Caenorhabditis elegans: one gene and its partners. The protein of the gene in region 3 interacts with the protein of the main gene of each other region in a pairwise test. Each region holds a gene or a part of one and is shown on either strand. Other genes may lie near its edges. The genes, in order: myo-2, cyc-2.1 and itr-1.

Evidence for each region.
Region 1: the proteins of itr-1 (region 3) and myo-2 interact in a two-hybrid assay, tested with the Caenorhabditis elegans proteins (one study listed by BioGRID).
Region 2: the proteins of itr-1 (region 3) and cyc-2.1 interact in a two-hybrid assay, tested with the Caenorhabditis elegans proteins (one study listed by BioGRID).

What each region holds. Positions count from the first base shown.
Region 1 is NC_003284.9:12,465,917-12,469,674, reverse strand, and holds the start of myo-2 (Myosin-2), read right to left. Parts: upstream 1,615-3,758; 5' UTR 1,527-1,614; coding exon 1,464-1,526; intron 1,354-1,463; coding exon 1,225-1,353; intron 1,169-1,224; coding exon 1,028-1,168; intron 979-1,027; coding exon 504-978; intron 449-503; coding exon 267-448; intron 219-266; coding exon 59-218; intron 1-58. Other genes in the region: cdf-2 (Cation efflux protein cytoplasmic domain-containing protein), read left to right, coding at 2,898-2,932, 3,039-3,151, 3,219-3,428, 3,476-3,629.
Region 2 is NC_003282.8:4,747,281-4,750,484, reverse strand, and holds cyc-2.1 (Cytochrome c 2.1), read left to right. Parts: upstream 1-2,035; 5' UTR 2,036-2,043; coding exon 2,044-2,223; intron 2,224-2,274; coding exon 2,275-2,430; 3' UTR 2,431-2,581; downstream 2,582-3,204. Other genes in the region: Y17G9B.5 (Evolutionarily conserved signaling intermediate in Toll pathway, mitochondrial), read right to left, coding at 1-41, 86-239; rpl-18A (Large ribosomal subunit protein eL20), read left to right, coding at 716-922, 971-1,306; tctn-1 (Tectonic domain-containing protein), read left to right, coding at 2,653-2,833, 2,887-2,990.
Region 3 is NC_003282.8:7,673,034-7,676,791, reverse strand, and holds the start of itr-1 (Inositol 1,4,5-trisphosphate receptor itr-1), read right to left. Parts: upstream 1,619-3,758; coding exon 1,540-1,618; intron 261-1,539; exon of another isoform or gene 111-260; intron 1-110. UniProt on the Caenorhabditis elegans protein: Receptor for inositol 1,4,5-trisphosphate, a second messenger that regulates intracellular calcium homeostasis.

The DNA of each region.
Region 1 (3,758 bases), on a different chromosome or scaffold from region 3:
AAATAGAAGGAAAGTTTCCAAGAATCCAAAAATCTACTGCTTCCCGTTTCTAACTTACCATCTGTGCCATCTGGCTCGGCCTGCTCTTCACGTGGACGTTGCTTGAACTTCATGTTACCCATGTGCATCATGGCGGCAACCAATCGGTAGCACTCCATCTTTTCAGTTGGGGTAAACTTGAGGATATCAAAGGCCTCATCGGTCAACTGATGCTCTTCCTACAAGAAAACAATATCTGCATTTCGTCATGTTTTGATCAGTATTACCTTGTCATTGATACCATCAATGATCAACTCAGCTTGAGCGATGAACCAGTAGTCCTTGACTGGCTTGTTAAGAAGGAGGTCCTTTTTAAGGTTTGGCAAGTAATCGGAGAAGACTTGGTAGAAAATGTGGTAACAACGCTCTCCTGGAGCTTGACGGATCACACGTGACTTTTCAAGAAGATCTGGAAAATTTTTAAATATATACAGGTCAAACATTCGAAATGATTTCAAACTTACAATGTTCAATATCGCAAGAAGCGACACGTCCTTGCTTGGAGAAGTGAATACGGATGAACTTTCCGAAACGGGAGGAGTTATTGTTACGGACAGTCTTGGCATTACCGAAAGCCTCGAGAACTGGATTGGTTTGGACAATCTGGTCCTCAAGTGTGACTTTCTTCTTGTTCTTGTCTTCTTCGGTGGCGGCCTTCTTGGCTCCGAAGGTCTCTTGTTGAGCAGCACCGACAGCGGCAAAGTAAGAGATAACCTTTTTTGTGTTCTCAGTCTTTCCTGCACCAGATTCTCCGGTAATGAGCATAGACTGGTTTTCGTGGTTTTGAAGCATGTTTCTGTAGGCTTCGTCAGAGACGGCGAACAAGTGAGGTGGCATTTCGGTACGGCGCTTGCCCATGAACATGCGGGCAACGGAATCGGTATAAATTGGGAGACGTTTGTATGGGTTGATGACAACACAGAAAAGACCCGAATAAGTCTAAAAGAAAATATGTTAAATCATAAAACTATAACAACAAAGTTCTTACATAGATGAGCATAGCAGCATAACGAGCTTTCAAGTTGTACAATACGGAAGCATCGTTAAGGAAAGTCAGGTTAGACATGTCTTCGGTTTTCTCGAATTTTGGTGGATTCATCTCTTGGACAACATCCTTTTTGACAGTCTTCTACAGAAAAAAGCAACATAATAATTGACAAATAAGTGGTTTTAAAATTCACTTACCTCGGCTCCCTGTCCAATGGACACAGTTACATTATCTCCAGCGGTTTTAGTGATGACACCCTCAATGTATCCGTCTTCCGAATCTGGGATCCAGACGTTCTTCTTGGAGTCATATGCGCGGGATTGATCCTTTAAAAATGGAAGTAAAAAAGTGAAAATTTATAAAGATGATTTTTTTTTTTAAACTAAGCAAGCTTATAACATTCTTTAGACAAAAAAACCATGCTTTATAAAAGTACCTGGAGCATCTCCTCGCGACTGCGGCGAAGGTACTTCCATCCTGGGTCGTTTTCGTAATCCATTTCTGTGTCTGACGATCGAGGGTTAAAATGAAAAGTGGTGGAGAGAAGTCAACCGCTCGGTGGGATGCGCGAGCCTGGAGATAACTTTGATTTTCGGCGAGCCCTTCTTTTTCCCTGGGTGGGTGGATTGGGAGGCGGGGATATCCAATTGTAATTCTAGGTAGCTGAAAAGTGTCTGCACACTGTTCTCTAACCATCGACGCAGGAAAAGTCTCTTTCTCAAGTGCAAATAGCAAAAATCTTCTTTCTTCCCCCCCATCTTCCGAGCAAGGCGCCCCCACGGATAGTTGCTCGCTGGCGGTAGGGAGCGAAGAGAGCAGAGAACCTCAACGGGATAGTGGGGATACGAGAAAAGAAACGGCATTTTAGGTTAACTAAAGATAGTGAAGAAGCCGGCTCAATGCAGAGAGGCAGACATCCGACGGCAAACAACGAGAGAATTTTATCCAGAACAATGAGTACAGTGTGTGCGCGCAAAGTGCTCTTCCTGCCATTTTGCTACTCTTATCCACACAACCACTTTAGCGATTACCAACCTATCTTGAGACTTATCTTTATTTTCTCTTCTTTTGCCGACGAAACGGGAGAGAGGGGCAAAAAATGAAGAATCGGGGGCACTGATTAACACACTTACTTTTTTTTAGGCTGAAGCACACATTGCTGTTCGGGGTGTAAAGTTCAGCAGAATTCAAAGCAAAAGACCACCCGCATCGGTAGTCAATATTGATCTGGAAGATTATTAAAAATTGTCAGAGTGAGCCATATGCATATGAATTTAATTCATACATAACATTTATAAGACAGGAATAAATACCAAAGTGAAGTTATTATTTGGTCGATTATCACTTTAGCATAGTGAAAGTATCCCTCAATGTCTCTACTTGTAAACTCAGTTGATTTACAAACGTTGTTTTATTGATTATAAAATTAGTTTTATGGACATTTAAAGCAAAGGATACTACTCAGATATAAAATGTACGACGTTTTCAATACTTTTACATTTCATTTTTGTTCTTGTAGCTTATGGGGATGTCACAATAAAACGTCCACAGCACAAAACCCACAATGTACAAGGTATAATTATGCTTATCAAAACTCGAATTGCAACCTGGTCAGGAGTAATTATTATTACAGACAGTTACTGTCCACCACCCCCAATTCAAATGCCTCGAGACATGTTCTAGTTTATGATTGATAACACACAACTTCCTTCTCTAAACCTCCGCACGCTATTCAATAATGATAACAGTGCCCATATACAAGTTGCTCCATTTTCTCGTACACTATACACAACACAATTATTCTGCGTCTTCAATTCTATCAAAACAAAATCGATTGGCCTAATCGGTTTCCTTTTCTCCATAATCCATAATGATTTCTGAACGAGCACCACTACTTGAAAATGGGTTAGTTTTGTGATGTAGTTGATGTTCGTTTATATCAGAGTTGTGATTTCCTGTGCTTCTATGACGTATTACCAAAGAAAAAACATGAGATCTTTTTGTATTACAGAGTTCCTCACATTTATAATACAGACGAAGGTAGAAAAACCACAGTCACCTATGATAACTTTCATTGCCACGATGAAGCTGACTCAACAGATTCACATGATAGCAATCGGAGAGGTATTGCTTTTAAAATTTCTGCCAAACTCGAGTCCTAATGAAACCTTCTTCAAACTATTTGTTTCAGCAACGCGAATTTTATGGCTCACCGTCGTGCTCTGCCTATTTTTTATGGTTTGCGAAGTTATTGGTGGTGTTCTCGCGGGCTCACTCGCAATTGTCACAGATGCCGCACACTTGCTCACTGATTTTGCGTCAGTGCTCATTTCGCTGTTTTCTCTGTACATTGCAAGACGGCCACCATCGCAAAAAATGAGCTTTGGGTTTCATAGAGCCGGTGGGTAGTTGGAAGAATTGAGCGACATAGTTTGAAATGAATTTCAGAAGTTTTGGGAGCATTTTTCTCAGTTTTCCTTATTTGGATAGTCACTGGAGTATTAGTTGTTCTCGCAATTATGAGAATTGTCAGCGGAGATTATGAAGTAGAAGGAGGAATTATGGCTTTGACAGCCGCTCTTGGAGTGGTTGTAAACTTGGTGTAAGTGTTTTTATGAAACGAGTCTGATAGCTTTATTAACTGGTATACACTTTTTTACTTCGATTTGAAATCGATATTTGGCATGAACTTTTATCCGGGTGGGAGCCCCAGGAATGTTGACATGTCAGA
Region 2 (3,204 bases), 2.9 Mb from region 3:
AAATTCGACATGCGTTCGACCTCGTTTTTCCTTGAACGTGGCTGAAAACATAGATTAATCGTTGAAACTAGACAGATATCCAAACCTATCGCTGCCATGAATGCATCTTTATCTCTTTTCTCCGGTTCTATAGCTTCGAATTGCTTTTCAACATGTACTAAACTCGTCTCTTGATTCGCTGCAGCAAAGCATCGTATTTGATTGCTGATAACCCGTCGTGAAACATGTGCAAGAGCCATTAAAGTCTGAATATGTACAAATAAATTAATATTATAACTTTATAGTTAAAATAAAACATTTAAAATCACATTTCTATATCTTTTTAACAAAAAAATTGCTTAAAAATCTAAGGAGTAAGTGCGCTCCACCGCTCCCCGTAAATCGACGGCGAGTGTATGAAGGATACGGTAATAGAACACGCAACAAAACTAGCACTGCCGCATACACTTTTGTGCGTTGAAATTCATTTTGGGTTTTCCTGATCCTATTTTTTAGCTTTTTTCCGCTTTTCTTTTTCTGATTTTTACAAAAATTTAACAGTTTTTTCATAGTTTTTAAATATTGCAATATGCACTCATATTTTTTCGGTAATTCCCATCTACCTTTCCATTTTAAAAGAAAATTGTAACGTTATCCTAAAATTGTTTTTCGCTATTATATCAGATTGTTCATTCCCCATTCCTTGCATCATATTTTTGTTTTTCAGGGTTAAAACATGCCAACCAAGGCTCTTGGAGAGACTCTTAATGAGTACGTCGTCGTCGGACGCAAAATCCCAACAGAGAAGGAGCCAGTGACTCCAATCTGGAAGATGCAAATCTTCGCCACCAACCACGTCATCGCCAAGTCTCGTTTCTGGTACTTCGTCTCTATGCTCCGTCGTGTGAAGAAGGCCAACGGAGAGATCCTTTCGATCAAGCAGGTTTGTGGAAAATAATAATAATAACCCATTTTACAATAAAATTTTCAGGTGTTCGAGAAGAACCCAGGAACCGTCAAGAACTACGGAGTCTGGCTCAAGTACGATTCCCGTACCGGACACCACAACATGTACCGTGAGTACCGTGACACCACCGTTGCCGGAGCCGTCACCCAGTGCTACCGTGACATGGGAGCTCGTCATCGTGCCCAAGCTGACCGCATCCACATCCTCAAGGTCCAAACCGTCAAGGCCGAAGACACCAAGCGTGCCGGAATCAAGATGTTCCACGACGCCAAGATCAGATTCCCACTCCCACATCGCGTCACCAAGAGAAAGAACCTCAGCGTCTTCACAACCGCTCGCCAAAACACCCACTTCGCCTAAGTTGCGGATTATTGTTATTTGTTACAATAAATTGTTGCAAACAAATTTTTTTCTTAATTTTTCATTTTAAATTTGTGTGGTTTGAATCCTGTTTGTTCAGCTTGTTATTTGTTTACTGTTTTTATCTCGTGCGCAGCACTTGTTGATGTTATTAGATGATCATTGCAATGATCCATAAGGCATCGGACCGCCCAGCTGACTTGTGTGACTGGTAAATTTTGTCAATATTTTCAAATTTGTTCTTTTGCAATATAGATATCTGCTCTTCTATATTCAGTTCTTACGCTACTAGATCTGTAACTACATTCCTTAAAGTTCAATATCACTATTTCGATAAGGTAAATTAATTCTTAATAATTGAGATAAGTTGATAAAAATCTGGATAACTGTAGATTTTGTAAGTTGTAAGCGTTAGAAATGCGGTAAATCTCGTAGAAACTTTATTTTTTGTATTTTAAGGGCAAAACCTTTCAGATCATAGATAAAAAGTTCAACAGCGTCATTTTAGTATGTCCTCGCTGAATGATATTTCACCCAGACTCCCGAGAGCGACCGCCCGATTGTTCTATGGCCTTTCTGTGTCTCTGCGTCTCCTCGCCGCCCGAGAGATGGCACAACCCCCGTTTCTTTCTCGCTATTGCATCACGGGCGGTTCCCCAAGTGCTGCTGTGGCGGTTTCTTCCTGCTAGACTCTTTTAGTATATATTTCACTAATTTCTGTATTTTAAGGGTTCAACATGTCCGATATCCCAGCTGGAGATTACGAAAAGGGAAAGAAGGTGTACAAGCAGAGATGCTTGCAGTGCCACGTCGTTGACTCGACCGCCACAAAGACCGGACCAACCCTCCACGGAGTTATCGGACGTACATCAGGAACTGTGTCTGGATTCGACTATTCCGCTGCTAACAAGAACAAGGTACAACTAATAAATTATTTCTTAACGTTTATTATAAATTAAAAATTATAGGGAGTCGTCTGGACCCGCGAGACCCTCTTCGAGTACCTCCTCAACCCAAAGAAGTACATCCCAGGAACCAAGATGGTGTTCGCTGGACTCAAGAAGGCTGACGAGCGTGCAGATCTCATCAAGTACATCGAGGTTGAATCCGCCAAGTCCCTCTAAATATTCCCCTAAATGTTCTCGCCTAGCTACGGCAATTTTTCATAGTTAGGCACTTTCGATTGTTTTACTTTTATATATTGCACTAATTTTGTGTCATTCTCATTTTTAGTAGCAAGAATATACGTCAATTTGGAAAATAAATAATTTTCCTAAATTCGTTTTCCTTTTCCCCACAGTCGCATCACAGCAGGTGTACACTCTTCCGCTACCATAGCAACCAAAATGGGCACCAATGCACCAAGAAATCGGAACGAGCTTTTTGTCATGCATCTTCTTGGATTTATTTTTCTTTTAACTTATTGTTCGGCTGATACTCCAGAGGTTTGTTATCCGTCAGTTGTTCGGCACCGGATTGATTCGATATTTCCAACTTCTCGTTTGTTCTGCGTCTCCAAGCAAAATGGTGGGCTTTTTTTAGCTGAACGCGAACAAATTACGGAGCTTTTTTGAATTTAGATGATTTGGAATATGGTGACGTGGAAATTGTGAATGGCGAAGAGCAATGGAACGAATTTTCAAAATCTAGATGGCAGCAAGATGAATCTGATTCACAAGAAAATGTAACACAATTAAAGATCTACGCAGACGGAAAATTTTGCGCCAGAAATACTGTACCTGGTCTCGACACGCTTTTGTTTGTAAAACGCGAAAAGATAAATATGCGCCTTTAAAGGAGTTCTGTAATTTCAAATATTCGTTTCTGCGGAATTTTCATTGATTTTTAATAATTTACCCATACATATTACAAATCATGAGAAAATGTGAAAAATCTAT
Region 3 (3,758 bases):
TTGGAAGTCGGCAATTGTTAACAATTTTTATAAAATTTTGAATTTCATGAAAATTGAAATTATTTTTATTCAAATATTCTAGAGGTTCACATCTGTAGCAATGCTCGAAATTACTCAAAAAGTCCAAACTTTCTGAAAAATCTACAATTTACAAAATTTCACCAAATCAAAAATTGTGGAGTGTTTTATTATGATTGTCGATTTCGGTATTTTCCTAAATTTTTCACAACCTGTTAAGGCGTTTATACCAAATAATTTTCAAGTTAATTATCATTTCCTTCATGCATTGTCTCTGGATCATTCCTCTTTTGAATTAAAATGGCAAATAATGATCATCTAGCTTTTGATAATGAACATATTAATCGTACTAGATCTTTCATCAAATAATTCAGTCACAAACCAGAACGATCAAACTCTCTAGCCTTTTTAATCGAATTTGGAATTTACAGTTCAGAGATTGAAGTTGTGTAAAGAGAAATAGAGAGAAAAAGAAATTGATCAGGTCGACAATTTGATGAACGATTCGATGACGTCTAATGTTAGAAATCAACGATACAAACTATTCGACAAAAAGATGAAGACGACAATAAATATAATGATATTCGTGTTCGAACATCAATCATTTTCGATTAGTTACGATGCCAACGAGACAACAAAAAAACATCTGTAAGTTCATTTTGTAAAATAATACGAACAGATGTGTGGAAAGAGGAAAGAGAAACAGAAATTTATGCATATCGTTTACCAGGAAAATATTAGAGAAAGAGACACAACAATCGGTATATATTTTGTTTGTTGAAACATTCATGAAATAGATGTATATGCCTCACATACATCAATAGACAACCAAGACGGTACGTAAGCCGCTTACAGGTGCCCCTTTTCTTTTGAAAGACAAGAAAAAATAGAGACCTCCGGGAACAAAAATGTGTTTTAAAGTGTTTTGCTGGTTGATGTCCCATATGATTGTATTTGTCTATTGTTTTATCGATATGCTCTAACGGTGAGTCAATAAATGCACTTTTTCTAGAAGAATTGAAAAAAAGTGTTTTTTTTTTAAATATTTTTAATTCAAAACTCTTTCATCATAGTCAAAATCAAAACCGGTTCTCAAAAGTTTGGCTTTATATTCAAATCTACTTTATGGACCAACTTTTAACACGAACAATAACAAAACATATCCTGTGAAATGGCGCCCGGTAATTTTAACTTCCATTTTACACATTTTGGTGGTTTTATTAAGTGTTTCTTGTTGGTTTTTTTTCTGGGGCGTTGGCCAAATAAGTTAGGCTCAATTTGAGACTATTTAGACGTTGGTTTTGAATTTTGAGAACAATAAATATAGTTCGCTACTCAACCTTTAAGGTTAAAAAGAAACATTGAAACTGAGAAAGTTCTGAGTTTCCTGTACATTTTTCAGTGATTTCATCAATGCTAACCGTATCAATTAGATTTAAGTTTATCGGTGAAAATTTGAAAAAAAATAAGATCGTTAATTGAAGCAGATTTTAGAAGTTTTTTTTTAATGTAAAAACTTACATTCATAATGCTCGGGAACGAACTCTGGAATAGATATAATGGATACTTTCTTACGAACCCGGCCATATGATGGATTCATTCTGGAATACTTTTTATGAAAAATGGAAAATAAGAAGCACAAAATCAATAAAAGTTTAAAAAAGAAATTGTAAAGCAAAATCGTATTAAAAATATAGTGACTCTCCAAAAAAGAACGGAGGAAACGTGTCACAAAAGGAGAAAAAGAGGAAACGTTTCTGAATTGAAAAGATTTGATGTTAACGTCTTGGACGGTCTCATGGTTCAGAGAGTTTTCAACAACAAATTTCTATTGGAAATTCTTTCATTTCATCTCCATTTTTCTTGTTTACTTTTTTGCAGGTAAACCCGCGCAAATAGTTGAAGTTGACACAATGTCAAAATGAGCGCGAATACCAATTAAGAAAGGTCAGATCGTTGGCATCGGTAGACAGACAACAATGAAAAAAATAGATTCCAGATGCGTTTGATTTGAAGATAGGAGGAAAGGAACAAAAGATGGTGGGCAACGGGAACCAAGTCACACTTATCAAATTAAAGGAATTAATGGGAATTCAAATGTATTAGCTGCAGTAGTCAATAACATCGAGATTTACAAGAAAATTATCTTTGAACAAATACGATACACAACGCTGAAACGGTGTGATACATAGCATGCAGCAATTGCCGTTCGGTAATCGACTTTTCGACGATTTCGGCAATCGCTGAAATTGTCGATTACAGGAAATCAGAATTGCCGAAAATATAAATGTGATATTTTTTGTAGATTTAGGAGCCCAAACATGAATTTTAATGAACAATGTTCTCTCTTTTCAAGCTCAAAATGATTTAATACTTGAAGGGTTGCCCGTTTTCTTTTAGAGAATGACTAACCTAATACAATAATTTTTGAGACATTTTCAAGTTGTCTCAATAGGTATTTAGGATCAATTTTGATTCTAAAAACAATCACCCAAATTTTGCTACTCCATCTTTAAGTGGAAAAATGAAGTAATATCGTTCCTGTTTTTCCATTTTAGTTTCGAAAATGATACAAGTTCAATTTCAAAAGTTGAAATATTCAGTTACTTTTTATAAATCTCATGTCTCTTTCATATCCCGCTAGTAATTCAATTCATATGAGCAGTCGACTACCATTTTGGAAGATAAACAATACAAATACGGGTTGCGAGAGACGAAGAGATCTCCAAGTGACACTTATACCGAAATGAGCGAAAGAGTTAGCGAATACATTTGTTTTGCGTACTATTAGCAGAGCTTTGAAACAGGGCGCAGCCTAAATTTGGGAGAGAAAGAAGATTTGTACGATTACGGAATAGAATATCCTACAGTAGAAAGTTAAAAAACATTACAAAATGAAATGTGCTTCATTAGGACAAAACAATATATTTTATTGTAAAACTAGTGGAAAAGAAAAAAAAAAAAGAAATGAAGAAGTAGTATTGGACTCCAAAAATATGATGTTTGATACTTTTCTGAAATGTGATAGTTTTGGAAATTAATGCGCGGATTTTTCTGAGCATTTTCTGAATCCATCGACTTTTTTAAAACTACATACCACATCTCATCTATTAATTTTAAATTTAATTTTTGCGGAAATTCCCACAGAGTATAGCCGGTCTGTCGGAAAATCAGTGCATGACAAACTAGAAGCTACAAAACTAATAAGGGAAATACGGGTTGTTTCAAACTAAATGCTTATGTTCGAATTGCAATATTTCATTCTGACTACCTTATTAATTTTCCCTTATTTTCCTGTTTTCAGAGCTCATATACATAAAGTTCACTTAAAAACCAGAACTAAAAAATCACGTACCGTTTTTGAAATTGACACACAATGTAATTTCACAGTTGGACGGAGCAGAAATCAAGGTTAGAAACATTTTCACAGTCTGTACTAGTTTTGCATTATATTTTCCTGTAATATTTTGATTTTCAAAAATCCAAAACCAAGATCCCTTTCGTACATCCCGTGATTGATTAAACAACAATGAGATTTCGAAAAGTCAGCATTTCTGCTCGAAAATCGTGTATCAAATCACCTTTGACCCTGTAGCTCATCATATCTAAACATTTTACAATCTTTTGATTCTTCATTCACATAAATCCAGTGGACCTCTTCCGTATTACATCAACTTCCTCGTAATATTTACAAATCTGTCGGAAGACAGTTTCGCACCTCACACCGCAAAAGTGGGCGG